Linked DNA regions of Notamacropus eugenii. The protein of the gene in region 1 binds, or shares a complex with, the protein of each later gene. Links are inferred from orthologs where the notes say so. Each region holds a gene or a part of one and is shown in the gene's direction. Other genes may lie near its edges.

Region 1 (7,837 bases):
CCTGAGGGGTTGGGATAGTAACTCCAGAGCCTACATATGCTATATATAAGCTGAGTAAGTTGGTCTAGATAATTTTTGAGCATCCTATCAAGTCTACATTCTTTAATTAAATTTTTAAGATAAATTTTATTAATATCTTTCTTGTTTGTTTTTACATCACAAAAATTACTCAGTATCATTTTTCCTTGTCTTCTCATATCTCCTTTGCTTATTCTTTGTCATTTTGCACACCCACTTGTTTTGGGGTTGTTCGTTCTGTATATTGTTTTCTTGGTTCTGTTTATTTCACTCTGCATCAGTTTCTGTAAGTCCATATTCCTCTGTATTCATCATGTGTTGTTTCTTATAGTACAGTAATATTATGTTACCTTCATAAATCACAATTTGTTCAGTCAATTCCTAATCGAAAGGTATCTACTTTGTTTCTAGTTCTTTGCTACCACAAAAAGTACTTCTAAAAATGTCTTGGTGTATATGAATATTTTCTTCATATCAGTGATTTCCTTGGGGCATAAGCCTCATTGTGGAATCTCTGAGTCAAAGATCGTGGACTTTTTGTCACTCTCTTTGCATAATTCTAAATTGCCTTCCAAAATGATTGCAGATTCATAGCTGCACCAACAATACATTATGTTTCCCCACAACCACTACACCCTTGATTCTTGCCATCTTTTATCATCTTTGCCGATTTTCTGGGTGTGAGGTGGAATTTTTTAGTTGTTTTGATTAACATTTCTTTTATTTGAAGAATTCTTTCATTATGGTTGTTCATGGTTTTACAATTCTTCTTTTTAGAATTGTCCCTTCATATCCTCTGACCATTTATCTATTAAAGAATGGATTTTACTTTCTTTCTCTCCATATATACATATGTGTGTATATATACACACACGTATATTTATATGTGTATGTCTATATGTGGTCTATATATCCACATATACGTAAATGTATTATGTATATCTATATATCTTATATACCAATCTGATGAGTTTGCTACAAAGATTTTTCTGCATTCAATTATTTCCCTTCTTATCCTAGAAACATTAATTTAGTTTGTACAAAAACTTTTCAATTTCATATAATCGAAATTATCTTTTTTATCTTTTGTTATGGCCTCTATCCTTTATTTGATTAAGAATGAATCTACTCAAAATTGTGAGACATATGAGCTGCTTCTCTTCAAAATTTTTATATCTTTATAAATTTTTATATCTTTAATATTAAGGTCAAATATTCATTTTTAATATTTACTCAAGAATATGGCATAAGATGTTGGTCTAAACCTAATTTTTACCAGACTGTTTTCCATTTTTTCCTCAGCTTTTTTTTTTTAAATAAATTACTTTTCAGAGTAATTTATATTTGGGAGTTTATTGAACATTGAATTATTGAGTTTTGTTGTTTCTGAATCTCCCTTATCTGGTCTGTTCCATTGAGCTACTTCTGTATTTCTTAACCAACACCAAATGGTTTTAATGACCACCATTTTCTAGCATAATTTGAGGTCTGGAAGTACTATTCTCCCTTCATTATTACCTTTTTCATCACGTATTTCTCTTAATCTTCTAGATCTTTTGTTTCTCCAAATGAATTCTGTTATTATTTTATCGAGTTCTATAAAGTATGCCTTTGCTAATTTGATTGGTATAGTATTGAAATTGTAAATTGACTTTGGTAGGATTGTGATTTTTATTATATGGACATAGTCCTGAGCTGACCACTGAAGAGTCCTGCTACTACTTAAGCTGATCTTTGTTTCTTTAAGGAGCACTTTGTAATTGAATCAATACGAGTATTTTGTGTGCTTTAGTAGATTGGTCCCCAGTTACTTTATGCATTTCATAGTTATAATCATAATAATAGGCAGCATTTATGAGTGCTTTATGGTTTACTAAGTACTTTACAAATATTTCATGTGATCCTCACAACAACCCTAAGATAGGTGCTATTATTAAACCCATTTTAAAGATAGGAAACTGAAGACAGAAATTGAGTGACTTACCCAGGATCAAATAGCTGGTAAGTATATGAGGATAGATTTGAAGTCAGGTCTTTCTGACTCCAGGTCCATAACTCTTTCCACTGCTATACCTTTGTTTATTTTATTATATCATTTTGAAATCTGTAACTGAACTTATCAAACATTTGCGAAAGTACCTGCTATGTGAAGATATTGTGCTATACACTGGGAATAGTAATGAAAAGACCTTGCTGTCAAGGAATTTATTATTTTAAAAGATATACATGAATATCTAAGTTAAAGATGCAAGGGTTAATATAAAAAGTAAAAAGAAATGTCTAGGTATTGAGAAATGATCCTTTCACCTTGGTAGTGGAGAAGGTTATAGGGTATGAAGAAAAGACTTCAAAAAACTTTAAAAGAGCACCTGCATTGAATCGTGTGTGTATGTGTATTCAATTCTGGGCCCCACATTTTTTTTTAAGTTCTGAAAGAATATGGCATTTATTCTATGTATTTTTTAGTTTTTTCATGGTATTTTATTTTTTTCCAATTACATGTAAAGATAGTTTTCAACATTCATTTTTTTATAAGATTTTGAATTCCGAATTTTTCTCTCTCTCCTTCCCTCTTCCCAAGATGGTAAGCAAATTTGATATAGGTTATACATACGAAATCACTGCATTGAGTCTTGAAAGAAGAGAGAATCTTCAAGAGGCAGCGATGTGGGCTAAAAAGGGGAATGTGATCCATGCCATCATGGGGTACCAGAGTGAATCATGACACCCAGACTGGAGGTGGCAGGACTAAGACAGGGAAGGAAATAATCTAGTTTGGGGATAGTGTAGAATATAAAAGAGGAGTATGAAGAGGTAGGATCATGAGGTTTGAAGCTATAAGGAGCCTTAGCATTGGTCTAATGTAGCAGATCATTGAACTTGGCTTTTTAAAAAATTAATAATTCTACCTCAAGATAAGTATTTTCCTTTGAAATCCTATGTGTTTTATTTTATACATCTAAAAACATGATTCTGGTTGGAAGTGGTGGCAGCTCCTGCCTACAATCCCTTCTTTTGGAAGAGGTTGAGGCTGATAGCCTGAGCTGAGGAACTCTGAGCTGCAGCAGGGTTAAAACTAAGGGTGTGTTGGTAAATGTTTAACAACCAGTTCTGTAAAAGAAGATTGCTATGTCATGTTTAATCTGCGCTATTAATATATTCTCCATCACTTTCTTAAGTCCAGGCAATCGACAAGATAATAAATCCAGCCCTAATTTATAGCCTTTGACAAGCCAATCTGTGCATGGTGTTCACAGTATACAATTATGGGGTGGGGGGGCCCTGCTATAACTACCACGCTGCCTAAAGATGAGCAAATCTTCCAAGGCTGGAAAAACAAGGAGAATAGAACTTCTATGCTAACCAGTGTTGAGATCAGGACTCTTGACAGTCACTACACTTCCAACCTGGACAAGGCAGGGAGACCCAGACTGAAAAAAAATCTGGTAAGGAGTCCTTAGGTTTCAAAAGATTTCCAAGCAGCGCTTGATACACACATAATAACGGTTAGAAATCCTGGTCTAACCCAAGCTCTTTATTTTGCAGATTTTTAAAAAAGAGGTAAACTGACTTGCCTAAGGTTACTGAGGAATAGAGTAGTAGAAACAGAATTCGAACCCAGCTCCTCTGATCCAGATTCAGGGCTCTCCTCATTACACCGTAGCTGGCACTTAGGGCCAGATTATGAGATTCCTTGAATGCCAGGACTGGTTGCTTTAACCTTATTCTTTTTAGTAGGTAAAGGAGGACCATTGAAGACTTTTTGGTAGAGTAAGGACATGATAAGAGCAGTGCACAGGTGAGGTTACTTTGGCCGCAGTGTGAAGGATGCATTGGGGATTTGGGGAGGTTAACATCAATGTCCAGAGGAGGTAATAAAAGCCTGAACTAAGATGCTGAGGGGGTAATGCATGTCCAAATGAAGAAGGTACGGGAATCTTTTCCACGAAATTCTCCTAGAAGAACGGCTTTTCCGATCTGACCCAGAAACCTTGCACGACACTGTCCTAGATGAAAGGTGCAGACCCCCTATCTAACGGGAGCACAGCTCCGGTCCGAGAGACTAGCAAGGCAACACAGCTTTGGTTTTCCCCTCTGCAGCAGTGGTAAAGGAACTACAAGGCCCAGCAGGCAGCTGCAGGGGGAGGAGGAGGAGATGGAGGTGGAGACTAGAGTATCGTCTGAGTGAGTGAGGCAGTGAGTGAGGCTTCCAGGCGCATAGCCTTAAAAGCGCTCAGTGGGATAGGCGGGCAGCCGCCGAAGCTGCAGCGAGAGCAGCCTGGAGAGTAGGCAGGGGGTGAGCAGGAGCCCGTACCTGTGCTCAGCCGCAGCGCGCCCAGAACCCAGACAAGAGTACCTGGATCGCCTTGAGACAGCTCCCAGAAAAGACCCAGAGAGTCCAGGCTCGGCGTATTGCGAAGACTTCGTATCTTCCCCCACCCCCAACCCCAAAGAGCCGTTGCAGCTGGAGAAACAACTGTGACTGAAGACTTTTCCTCCAGTCCTGGGGATACATTGCCAGTGCCCACACATACACTCGGATCTGTACCGCAGCAGTAGCCGCCGCCGCCACCGTCACAGCCTGGGCGCGCTGCGGAGCCGCGGCCCCTGCGAGGAGATGGAGCCCGGGTTGCAGAAGGTGTGAGCCGTCCGCAGCCCCGGCTCTCCGGAGGAGGGGGATCAGGGGGTCCAGAGACCCCAGGAGGCGGAGGGGAGAGCCCTCCGCCCTCCCCCCCTCCGGCGGGCACCCGCTTCGACCCTATTGTTCCCGCCGGGGCTGGAGGCGCCGTGTAGGGGCCGCTCCCGGGACTTGTGCACCGGCTGCGGGGCTCTTGTGGCCCCGCAGGGACGGGTTCTGTCCCCGGGGCGGCCAGTCAACTTGAGGGACCCGGACTCCCACCCGCTGGAGCTGCGGCCGACTCTCCTCTAGGGGAAAAGCAGCCCAGACAGAGGTAAGAGTGGCTGGGGCCCCTCCAGATGCGAGGCCGCCTCTCCTTAGCTCGAGATCCCCAAGCCTGGGAGATCCTCTACCCTCCTCCTGCACCATCCTCCTGGCGCTAGCTTAACGACCTGTAACCCTTTGGAGCTTAAGCGTGCGCTGTGCTCCAGAGGTCTCCCCTCTCCTCACCCCTCGCTCCCCCCTTTTGTCTACCCTCCTCTTCCTTCTCCCGCTCGCAGTTGTGCGCCCCTACTCCCTCCGCGCCTCCCTTCCAGCTCGGCTCCTCCCGCCGCCCAACTTCTCTGCAAACTAGCGCCCGGGGTTCTGCGAGACTGCGGAGTCTGCAGCCTCTAGGCCGGGGGAAGGGAAAGAATTGGGGAAAGGGAAAAGGCCAGAGGGCGAAGGCAGCCGGCGGCTCGGGGGTCCGAGGACGACGGAAGAATTGTGCCTGAGTCTTGAGTGTACTGCATTCCACTCCACCCCTCGTGGTGACTGACTCACCCCAATACTGCAGCAGGTAGCTTTGGTCCGACCACTGGATCGGACCGATTTCTAATCCCTTTTTCCCACTCCCAGTAAAGTCCGAGCCCCGATATGTATTGGGGGGATGGGGGAAGGGAGAGGTTGTTGGATAGCTTTTCTTCGTTTAGTTTTTAGGGAGGTGGCGAAAGGTGGCGTCACTAAATGGCAAAGAGTCCGTTTTAGGGGAGGGCGAGGAAGGTATTTCCTTTAGGGGAGGGGGTTATCTTTTCCTACGTAGTATTCCTTAGAGGCGAAGGGAGGGAAGTTGAGGGAAATTGGAAGGAGCCCAATGGACGAATAAGCCCTTGTGTGGGTTGGGGGTGGTTGGGGGTGGGAGGAGAGAGGAGGAGCGTTCAACTCTACTAATCTATCTGGATATAGGAGATGAAATGAGAATGTTTTGTCCAGTGTTGTTCACTTTGCAGCAGTGAACCTCACTCTTTTTTTTTTTTCTGGCAAAGATCTGGCCTGGATTAATTTGCCCTCTGGCCCCTGTGTGATTTTCTGGAGAGGCGGGCTAGCAAAAAAAAAAAAAAAAAAAAGAGGAGGGGGACCGGAAACTTAGTTTCCAGAGTGACACCTTTGTATAGTTTGGCAATCCTAGTTGGCTTCATCCCATCCCCCTTTCCTCTCTCACTCAACCGGGTGGGGGGTGGAGAATGGGGGGTTGAGGGTTGAAACCAGTCTGCTTCTGCTGGGACCAAAAGCGATTGGCCCATTTACAAAATGTTGCTGTGGTCTCTTTCTCCCTCCCCCCACTTTTAAATTTTTTTAGTTTTCCAGATGTTGCACCAGTGAGCCCCATCTGGTTCCATTTCACCCAGTACAGCAACATTGCAAACAAACAGCGCCTAGCATTTCTCTGTGGCTTTTTATTCCTCTCCCCACCCCCAAAATGCTAAGATCCTTCACTTTCCTCAAGGGCCAGGAGCATTTCCTGCGCCTAAGAGATGGATGGGAGTAGGAAGAGAGAAGAAGGTTACCTTGGATCCCGGGTTATTGGAACTTCTCTTCTTCATCTTGGGTGGTAAAAATAAATGGGAATAGGAGCTTTGGAGGAGGGGATCGAAGGTGCCGGACATATATTTGGGTAAGCCACTCTCGAATGGCAGACTTCATCCCCTTAGGGCATGACTCCGCCAGGACTCCGAGCTGATGGCAGATGTAACTCTCCGAAACCCCAATATTTCACTTTTGTGCTTTGAATGAAAAGAAAACGGAAAAGGTGTCCTGCCCTGTTGGAGCTTGGATGGGGAGGGGCGAAGTTGGCCTGAACTCTTGGGCTGCTGTTTCTTGGGCTTTCTGGGAAGGCCGATTGCCCCTTTCCCATCGAGGGAGCCCCAGGGGGCCGTCCCCCAGCGGTGGCAGTCATGCGTTGCTTTTTCCACCCTTCCTCTGGAAGGCTGGTATGTGGCGGCGGCGGCGGGCGCTGGGGGCGTGTGAATGGGGCCAGGTTGAGGTGTTGGCTCTCACTGCCCCTAGCCTAGTTGGTCTCTATGTTTTTTAACGTAGTTTGGATTGCAGCCCCCGGAAACTAAAGTGACTCTGCCCTAGTATTTAAATAACGGTTACCGGTTGAAAAGCAGACGGAGGGTGTGCATGCGTGCGTGTGTGTTGCTTGTGTTGTGTGTGTGTCCGTTCCTTAAACGAGGAAAGCTCCTTATGGTCCAAAGTTTAGTGGGGGAGGGAAAGAGGGAGACAAACTTCCCTCCTCCTCCCCTCCCTTCTGTCTCTCTTTCAAATTGAAAACACTTCTCTGGTTTCCTTCTCTGGGCGGTAGTTTTGGAGGTTGTAATGAAATCGCACTTTCTCTAGACATGGTAATTAAGGTGACTGTTTCCTCAGCAGATGTGCCCTGCTCTCTGCACCTCCGGACCCAAGCTTTTTTTGGTATACCGACTGCCCTGCAGCCTCAGGACAACTGGGCGGGTTGCTGCTCTCCCCCTCCTGTTCCCGCCTGTCTCAGCCACCCAGCCACCCCCCTTCCTCAGCCTTTTTCCACCCCACCCTTCGAGGATGATTTTACAGCCCCTACAAAGTCCAGTTCTGGGGCTTAATTAGCCCAGTGGCCACGGCTCTCTCTTTACTTTCGGGGAATAGGATGAGCAGCAGCCTCTGCTTCGAACTTGCCCTTATGGCCTCCCTAATGACTTGTTTACATATTTCCTCCCATTTAGGGCTGAAGTTTGTCGGGAGCAGCTCCAGCCCCGATACTTCTAGCACCCGGTCAGCAGCCAGTGGACTGGAGACGCCGGCCGCCGCTGCAGGCTTGACTCCCTCTCGGGTTGTTCAGCGGCTAGCGGCTGACGAGCTCCTCGAAATATCTGTTACGTTGACTCTTAGTCATAGCCATAGCTA
Region 2 (7,927 bases), on another chromosome or scaffold:
AACTCTTAGGAAAATCCCAAGTATAGAACTGGTATCGAAGTTCAAGGCAGTAGATCAAAATCTGTAACTGGAAATTGAATTAGAAGCATAAATATAGAACTAGAAAGCAGGTTAAAAGTCATCTAGTCCAACCCCAGCATTTTCCAGATAAAGAAATGGAGGCCCAGAGAGGTTAAGTGACTTGCATAAGATCATACAGGAAGTAAGTAGAAGAGCTAGGATTTGAATCCAGGTGCTCTGACTACAAATTCACCATTTTTACCCAGAGAGGAAAATGTACTTGAGCAATTATAAGGGACTAAGTCAGGGGTGGGGAACCTGTGGCCTCGAGACCACATGTGGCCTTTTAGGTTCTTGGGTGCAGCTTTTTGACTGAGTCCAAGTTCTACAGAGCTAATCCTTTTATTAAGGGGATTTGTTCTGTGAAGTTTGGATTCAGTCAAAGAATGACATTTGAGGACCCAGAGGGTCACATGTATTCTCAAGGCTGCAGGTTCCCCATCTCTGGACTAAGTGATGATGAACAGCTTACAATTCTAATAGAGGGGAAGAAACAAGTCCATTCAGAACCTCATTAACTTCAAACAAGCAAAACAACCAAATTCAGAGGGCAAATTATCAAAAGGACAGAAAGTAAGAACTAGTGGTCTAAGTGAAGTGAAAAAAGCAGAAGTAGATAGCTTCAATTGCAGTTCATTGTGCTGATCAGATTCCTTCTCTTACTACCTTCTTTACAAAGAGAGGTCTGGGGCAAAGAGAAGAAAATGTGCAAGAGGATATGATGGAAGGATTTACACAATTAACAATTATAACTATGAATGAGAATGGGGTGAACTCGCCCATAAAATGGAAGAGGGTAGCAAAATTGATTAGAATTGATTGTTAAAGACTCAGCTTGTGACACCATCTCCACATACCCTTGAATTTTTTTTGATAGTCAACATTTTCTCCCCCTATTTTTTGGTTTTGATTTTATTCTAATATTTTATTTCTGAAACATTGAACTCAGTTTGGCCGATTTTAATTTCCAGGGAGTTTACTACTTGGTTGTGGTTTCCATCTTTTGTTCTAAACTACTTATTCTCCTTTCACTTTTTTTTCATCCAGAGTTATTTCACTTATAATTTTTCTGGTGTACCTGGGGCACTGAGAGGTTAAATGATCTGCCCATGATTCAACAGCTAGTATGTGTTAGAGGCTAGATGCACTTATATTTTCATTTGTATCATAGCTATTTTGTGTATCTGTCTTATGTCCCCAACTAGATTACAAATCCCTTGAGGGTAAGGATTCTGTCTATTTCATTCTTTTATTACCTGAGAGACTAGTATCATGTCTTTAAACTGGGAAACTTGTTGAAGACAGCTCAAGTGGCACCATCTCCAGGTAATTTCCCTCATCTGGAAAGTTGGAAATACTCTCTGGGAGTTCAGGGATATAAAGACATGTTTTGGGGAGGGGAGGAGAGAAAGGGTGTGTCTATGGCAATAGTGCCTCCTGTTTAAAAGCTTGCACTGTTCAAAAGTCATAAGCTCTTTCAAGCTATGCCTCTTGTTTTTTCTCTCCAAAGTTTCCATTAATCAGGAGTCATATCTCTCTCATGTTTGCTATACACAGTATCCCAACCTCTGCCAATCAAGAGTCATGCTTCTACTTGTCTAGTGTCCCATCTTGGGAATATCCTTCAGGAAACTATCTGACCCTCCTCTGGGCTTGAGTGTTACAAATATGTTGATAGGATGATGATATGCACATATTAAATTGTTGAACTGGTTACATAGAGCACTATGACATCATAATTATATGTAGCTTCATAAAAATCTTCCTCTGATACATGACTATTTAATTAATCAGCTGATTGATTAGATCTATTGACTAATGATTTTATCTCCAGCTTCAGCTATCTCATTACTACATAAAACTTTATAGTTGGTCTACAGTAGGAGTTATTGAGGGGTAGTTTGGTGGCACAGTGGATAGAGTGCTGGACCAAAAGTCAAGAAGACTTATCTTCTTGAATTCAAATCTGACCTCAAACTCTTACCTCAGTTTTCTCATCTGTAAAATGAGTTTGAGAAGGAAATGGCAGACTACTGTAGTATTTTTGTCAAGAAAACTTCAAATGGGGTCACAAAGAGTTGCACATGACTGAATAACAAAAGGGAGTTCTTGACTTTTTTTATGTATTATGGACCTCCTTGATTGTTTGGTGAAGCCTGTGCACCCCTTCTCATAAGAATGTTTTTAACTGCAAACAATAAAACACATAGAATTACCAGGAAAATAAAAAGAAAACAAAAATGTAATTCTCCCCACCTCCAATGCCCCCATTCAGGTTCATGGACCTCCCACTTCCCAGCTTAACCTCTGGTCTACTCTAGAGTGAAGCAGGGTTAACAGTGTAAATGAGAGATGGCATTGTTTAGAGGACAGAGTGCTGCATCTGGAATCAGGAAGATTTGGGTTCAAATTATTAGCTGTGTGAGTAAATCATTTAATCTTTCTGAGATTGTTTTCTGATCTGCATAATAATAATACCTGTAGCACTGAACTCACAGGGTTGTTGTGTGAATCAAATGAAACCATGTTTATAAAGAGCCCTGCAAACCCTAAAGTGCTGTATAAATGTCAGTTATTATTATATATTGGATGAAATAGTTTGGATAATTGAGAGGTTAGATGGATTACTGAAAATTCATTCTCACTGCCGGAAAAACAACTTTAATCATGGATCCTTTTGAAAAGGAAGTCAGGAACATCATCTTCATGTATAAAATATACGTTAGTATCCTCTCAAAAGAGTTTTGCCCTGGAAGATAATTTATATTTATTTAGTTAAGATTTCAAAGAACTTTAAAAAAAAACCACTTGTGAAACTGTGGATTATCTTTTCCATTTTATATATAAATAACCTAAAGTTTAGGGCAGTTAAACAGAATCACATTGCTCTTAAGTGTCAAAACAAGTATTCCAATACAAATCTCCTGATTCTATGTGGCCACTCTAATGATATCCACATTACATGATTATTAATGGTTACCAAAGGTAACAAGACTTTCTATATTTAACGAAATGAAAATGTTAAAATACATAGCAATAGTAATTGACACTTCAAAATTGTGATAGTCATTATAGGTGGAACTTTCATAAATAAGTATTTCTAAAAATAAGGGTTGATTATCATAAAGTCTTCAATCTTAAGTTAAAAACATCTCCTGGGGACATCTATGGATGAAAGTTTTAATATTACCCTAAGGAGACCTGTATTTCTTAAGTTTCTTCTGTACAGCTGAATTTTAGATATGATGCATTTTATTAGTTTTTTCTTTTCTATTAGTTCTAAAGTTATCTTTGGATTTTGTGTTGTTTAGAAAAAAAAAAGTAGTGTTAGATACACTCTACCCTGAAGAACAACTACATGGAAGTTGAGAAGTTGATACGTAGCCTAAGCTCTTTTCCCATGGGACCTCTGAAGTATTTCTAATTGAAATTGAAATTTATATTTGGCTCTTATAGAGCCAAATCATTTTAGGGGAAAAAAATGAGGCTGCATTTAATAATTATATTTTATTAAGCCCATGGAATGGTAGTCATATTATTTCATATTTATGTCATGGCCCAGACTTTCTAATCTTACAGATAATGTTGCATGCTTGCTGTACCTAAATTTATTTAACATTGCTGTATTTACAAATGGAAGAAGTAGAAGTCATATCATTTGTGGTATTATGCTAAGCAATCCAGAAATGACCTTTCCTTAATAATAGACTACTGTATGGAACATGATTTCAGGGATATCAACAAGTCCTATGGTGCCACAGTTTTTTGGACCAACATTTCTTTTTGATATCTGGTAAAAACCCCCCAGCATTTTTGTTATTTTTTTCCTTCTCATTATCCCTATCCCCCTGAGTTTCATAACACATAATCAGATTCTTTGTTCGCTGAAGCCTCTAGGCAGCACTGAACTCATAATTTTGTTAAGATAATTTAGTTGCTGGTGTATAGGACAAATTTTAAGGAAAAGTGTAGAAAGGAGAGTGGGATAAATTACCATTACTGATCACTCAAACCTTCATCCTAGATAAATAAAAAAATTTCATATTAATGATTTGAATTTCAAGCAGGCATTTTTCATAATCTCTTGGAAAATCTAATAGATAATGGAATGGCTAAAAGACCAAGGGTAAGAGGGAAAGAGGGAAAAGCACTGACCATGCAGAAAGTGGAAAATTAAACTCAGAATCATTGAGTAGTGGTAAGAAGACACATTTCTATTACAATCAGGTATACCACCAGAGGACCTCATCCTTTAGTGACTGGTAAAATGTGTGGCAATGGGTAATACCTTGAGAATGTTTGAAAGTTAGAATGCTGAGAAATTTATCTTCACTGAAAAATCACTTACTCCATCCTTTTACTTCCCCAGTCCATAAAAAAAAAAAAAATTCTACCTATGTTTCAAGGAAAAGTATATTTTTAGGCAACAATGGGGGTGGGGTGAAGATGAGGAAGCAGGTGCTTTTGAGGGGAGGTCACTTGTTTGATGATAATGTTGATACAGTAATCCAGCCAAGAAGGCAGATTTCCTTTCTGGACTATCTTTTATCCTCTTTCGTGGAGATGGAGGATGGTTTCAGCTGAAGATTTAGTTCTGTCCTCCAGTTAAGTTGGTCTTCCCTCTCACTTTTCTAGATGGATGCACACACATCCCTCGTCTTTCCTGATCTAGGTTTATAAATGATTTCACCCTCCTTATGCATCAGTTACTTCTCGGAGAAGAGTAGTGAGATGAAGATTAACAGGTGCTTTTTCTTCCCTGCTCTTTTGTCGCCAGTAAAAGATCCGTCTTTCCCCTCTCCCTGAGGTTCCTTGTCAGGGTCTCCAGAGAGCCTGGTTCTCCCTGTCCTCTCCCCTGGCTCTCCCCTGGGTATCATTTTCTCCTCTTCCAGATCATGGTACTAACCTCAACACCAAGTCTCGGGATATGGGATGGGAGGGGAGAGGAAGAGAGGAGAAGAGGGGAAGGCGGGGGCTCCCAGGTAATTATTGACAGACTTGCCCACTGAGGGAAGCAGAGGTGGGCGAGACTGTGGAGAAGGCGCGGAGCGCGTGGAGGGGCGGGGAGGGAGGCAGGCGGGAGCAGTGATAAAGGGGTCCGGCCTGGGAGCTAGGGCCTCACATGAGTGCTCCCCTGCTACCCCGCAGGTAAGATGAGCCCCCACGCTCGGGCCGGGGCCGCCCCGCCGCGGCTACTTCTGCCCCTGCCCCTGCTGTGCCTGCTGTGCGGCTGCCTGCGCGCTGATCCGGGGGATGGCGCGCAGACTTGGGTCCGCTTCGCCAGAGCTCCATCGCCCGAGGTCGCGGGCTTCCTCCACGACACCTTCCCCGACGGCTTCCTCTGGGCAGTGGGCAGCGCTGCCTACCAGACGGAGGGCGGCTGGAGGCAGCATGGCAAGGGCGCCTCCATCTGGGACACCTTCACCCACCGCCCCGCTGCGCCCCCAGGGGACCTCCTGCCCCAACTCTCAGCCCCGTCCCACTCCTGGTCCTCCCAGCCGTCTCTGCCGCCGGCTCTGTCCCGTCCCGCCACGGGGGACGTGGCCGGAGACAGTTACAACCATATCTTCCGCGACACCGAGGGTCTGCGCGAGCTCGGGGTCACCCACTACCGCTTCTCCATCTCGTGGGCTCGCGTGCTGCCCGGAGGTGGCGGCGTGGGCGCGGGGCCCCCCAACCTCGAGGGGCTGCGCTACTACCGGCGCCTGCTGGAGCGGCTGCGCCAGCTCAGCGTGGAGCCCGTGGTCACCCTGTACCACTGGGACCTGCCGCAGCGCCTGCAGGACATCTACGGAGGTTGGGCCAACCGCACCGTGGCCGACCTCTTCAGGGACTATGCCGAGCTCTGCTTTCGCCACTTTGGCGGCCAGGTCAAGTACTGGATCACCATCGACAACCCCTATGTGGTGGCCTGGCACGGCTATGCCACAGGGAGGCTGGCCCCTGGTGTGCGGGGTAACCGGCGGCTTGGCTACCAGGTGGCCCATAACCTGCTCCTGGTGAGTCCCGGGGGGAGTGGGGTGGTGTCAGTCCAAGGAATCATTGCAGGACTGGAGAGGGAGGGAAAGAGGGGTGAGCCAAGGAAGGTGGAGTACAGGGACCGCGGGACCTAGAATTCAAAAGGACTTTAGGCGTCATCTGGCCCAAATCCCTGATTTTACAGGTGAGGGCACTGAGGCTTAAAGCGGGGAGATTGGCCTAAGGTCAGCTAGTTAGTGACAGCTGGAGAAACGAGTCGGAAAGGGACTTCGGTATAGAAGCAGGGTAAAAGAAGGCAAGTGTCCCAGATGTTCCTATCCGAAAGGAAAGCTAGAATAAAAAGTTGTGGAGGTGTTTGAGCCAGGCACCTGAGGGACAAAATTATTCATAAAATTAAGAGAAAGATCTGAGAGGCGTCTAATCCAATTTGGTCTCTTTATGAATGAGAAAAGTGAAGTAGAAAGATCACCAATTTAGCAAGCATGAAAGCTGAAATTTAAACCCAAATTGTCTGACTCTATTGATAGGAGTTTGTCTTTCCAGTGTTCTTAGCCCCCTCTTTAGCAACCCAGACTTCGCATAACGGGTACTAAATTAGAACAGGGAAGGGAAGTAGTGAATCAGGATAAGTCAGAATGAATGTATGGGATCATAGGATTTAAACTCAAACAGACGCAATGACAGTAGTACTACTACTAATAACAGCTGGTTATTTGACCTCCTTTGACTCTAGAGATTATCTACTTTGGTACCCGATGGCTCAGTAAGAGGTTTAAAATGCCTTTCCTGGTAAGAATACTTTTGGGATCACCTTGAATTTGTGTATTGAGCAAGTCCTACAGGTTTGGGAGGGGTTTGTGGGTCTTTTTTTTTTTGTTTGGAAGTGTAGTTTGTTTGGTTTTTTTTACTTATTTAGTGATTGGAGAAGAAAGAGGAAGTCCACTAGACACAAGTTTTTCAGAAGCTATTCAGATAGTCAGTAACCAGTCTTTTATATAGTCGATGGTTATGAGGTGAATTAAATGTTGTCAGTAAGGGCAGGATACGCTGACCCTTCCAAGAAAAAAAAATCACTTTAGCTAAGTTTTCTTGTGCATACAGCAAATAAAATACTTTCAAAATGACATCTCTGGGTCAAATTGTACTTGAAAGTATCACCTGTGGCAGAGTGACAGAACTACTTGAGTTACCATTCCAAATATCTTTTAGTTCAAAATTTCATAGAAAATTTCAAAACTAGGGTCAAAATGTACATTGTGTCTTTGTATCGTACTATGATTGTTGATCTATACATTTGTTTCTCTGCAGCGTCTTCAGTTTTGAAATCTTCCACGAGTGAAATAAATCTTATTAACTCACTACCTGATAAAATTAGTTTTAACAGTAAGTTGCATAAAATTTTAATGTAAAAATGCTAAAAATACCACAGTGGAACAATGGTTGGTAATGGACTAAGCATCATGATCTCTTTTGCTTTTTAGGTAACATTTAATCTTTTATGGTAGTAACTCTCTCATGAAAGGTTTCAGCTCATTGAAATAATATTGATTAGCTGCCTAGAGTTTCTACAAGTACTGTTCTTTTTTTTTGTTTTACAAAAATATCTTATTTGCATTTTACATATTTGTGAAAGTTATTTAAATAGTTTCTATGTAAAATTTATGATGAAAACTTCTTGTTTTAATGACTTTAAACATCTACATATTTTGACTAGATTCTAGATAAAGAACGCTAATAAAAACTTTTTTACCCAAAATGCTGTTTAGAACTAAAAGTGAATCAATTCAGAGATATAGCACTAGGCTATCACAGAGTTGAACTGATAATGTTTATAAATTATAAAGTGATATTCAGTTTTTAAATAATGGTGAAATCAGTCCCTTAAAAT

The links. The genes of interacting proteins can lie anywhere in the genome.
Region 2: the proteins of FGFR1 (region 1) and KL are in contact, whole or in part, in a cryo-EM structure (PDB 7YSH), measured with the Homo sapiens proteins. The link is inferred for Notamacropus eugenii from reciprocal best matches to the Homo sapiens genes FGFR1 and KL. Residues at the interface, in NP_075598.2 of Homo sapiens: Asn272, Gln288, Leu290, His292, Ile293, Asn296, Gly301, Pro302, Leu305, Pro306, Tyr307, Val308, Gln309, Ile310, Leu311, Lys312, Glu322, Leu326, His327, Leu328, Arg329, Asn330, Glu334, Asp335, Thr340, Leu342, Leu349, His351; in NP_004786.2 of Homo sapiens: Ser539, Gln540, Phe541, Asp543, Leu544, Asn545, Val546, Tyr547, Leu548, Trp549, Asp550, Val551, Lys555, Arg556, Leu557, Val560, Val563, Thr565, Lys566, Arg568, Tyr571, Val573, Ala576, Glu625, Arg628.

Annotation. Positions count from the first base shown.
Region 1 is NC_092872.1:622,453,305-622,461,141, forward strand, and holds the start of FGFR1 (fibroblast growth factor receptor 1), read left to right. Parts: upstream 1-4,833; 5' UTR 4,834-4,970; intron 4,971-5,238; exon of another isoform or gene 5,239-5,474; intron 5,475-6,462; exon of another isoform or gene 6,463-6,569; intron 6,570-7,837. UniProt on the Homo sapiens protein: Tyrosine-protein kinase that acts as a cell-surface receptor for fibroblast growth factors and plays an essential role in the regulation of embryonic development, cell proliferation, differentiation and migration.
Region 2 is NC_092876.1:202,147,675-202,155,601, forward strand, and holds the start of KL (klotho), read left to right. Parts: upstream 1-4,915; 5' UTR 4,916-5,213; coding exon 5,214-6,059; intron 6,060-7,927. UniProt on the Homo sapiens protein: May have weak glycosidase activity towards glucuronylated steroids. However, it lacks essential active site Glu residues at positions 239 and 872, suggesting it may be inactive as a glycosidase in vivo.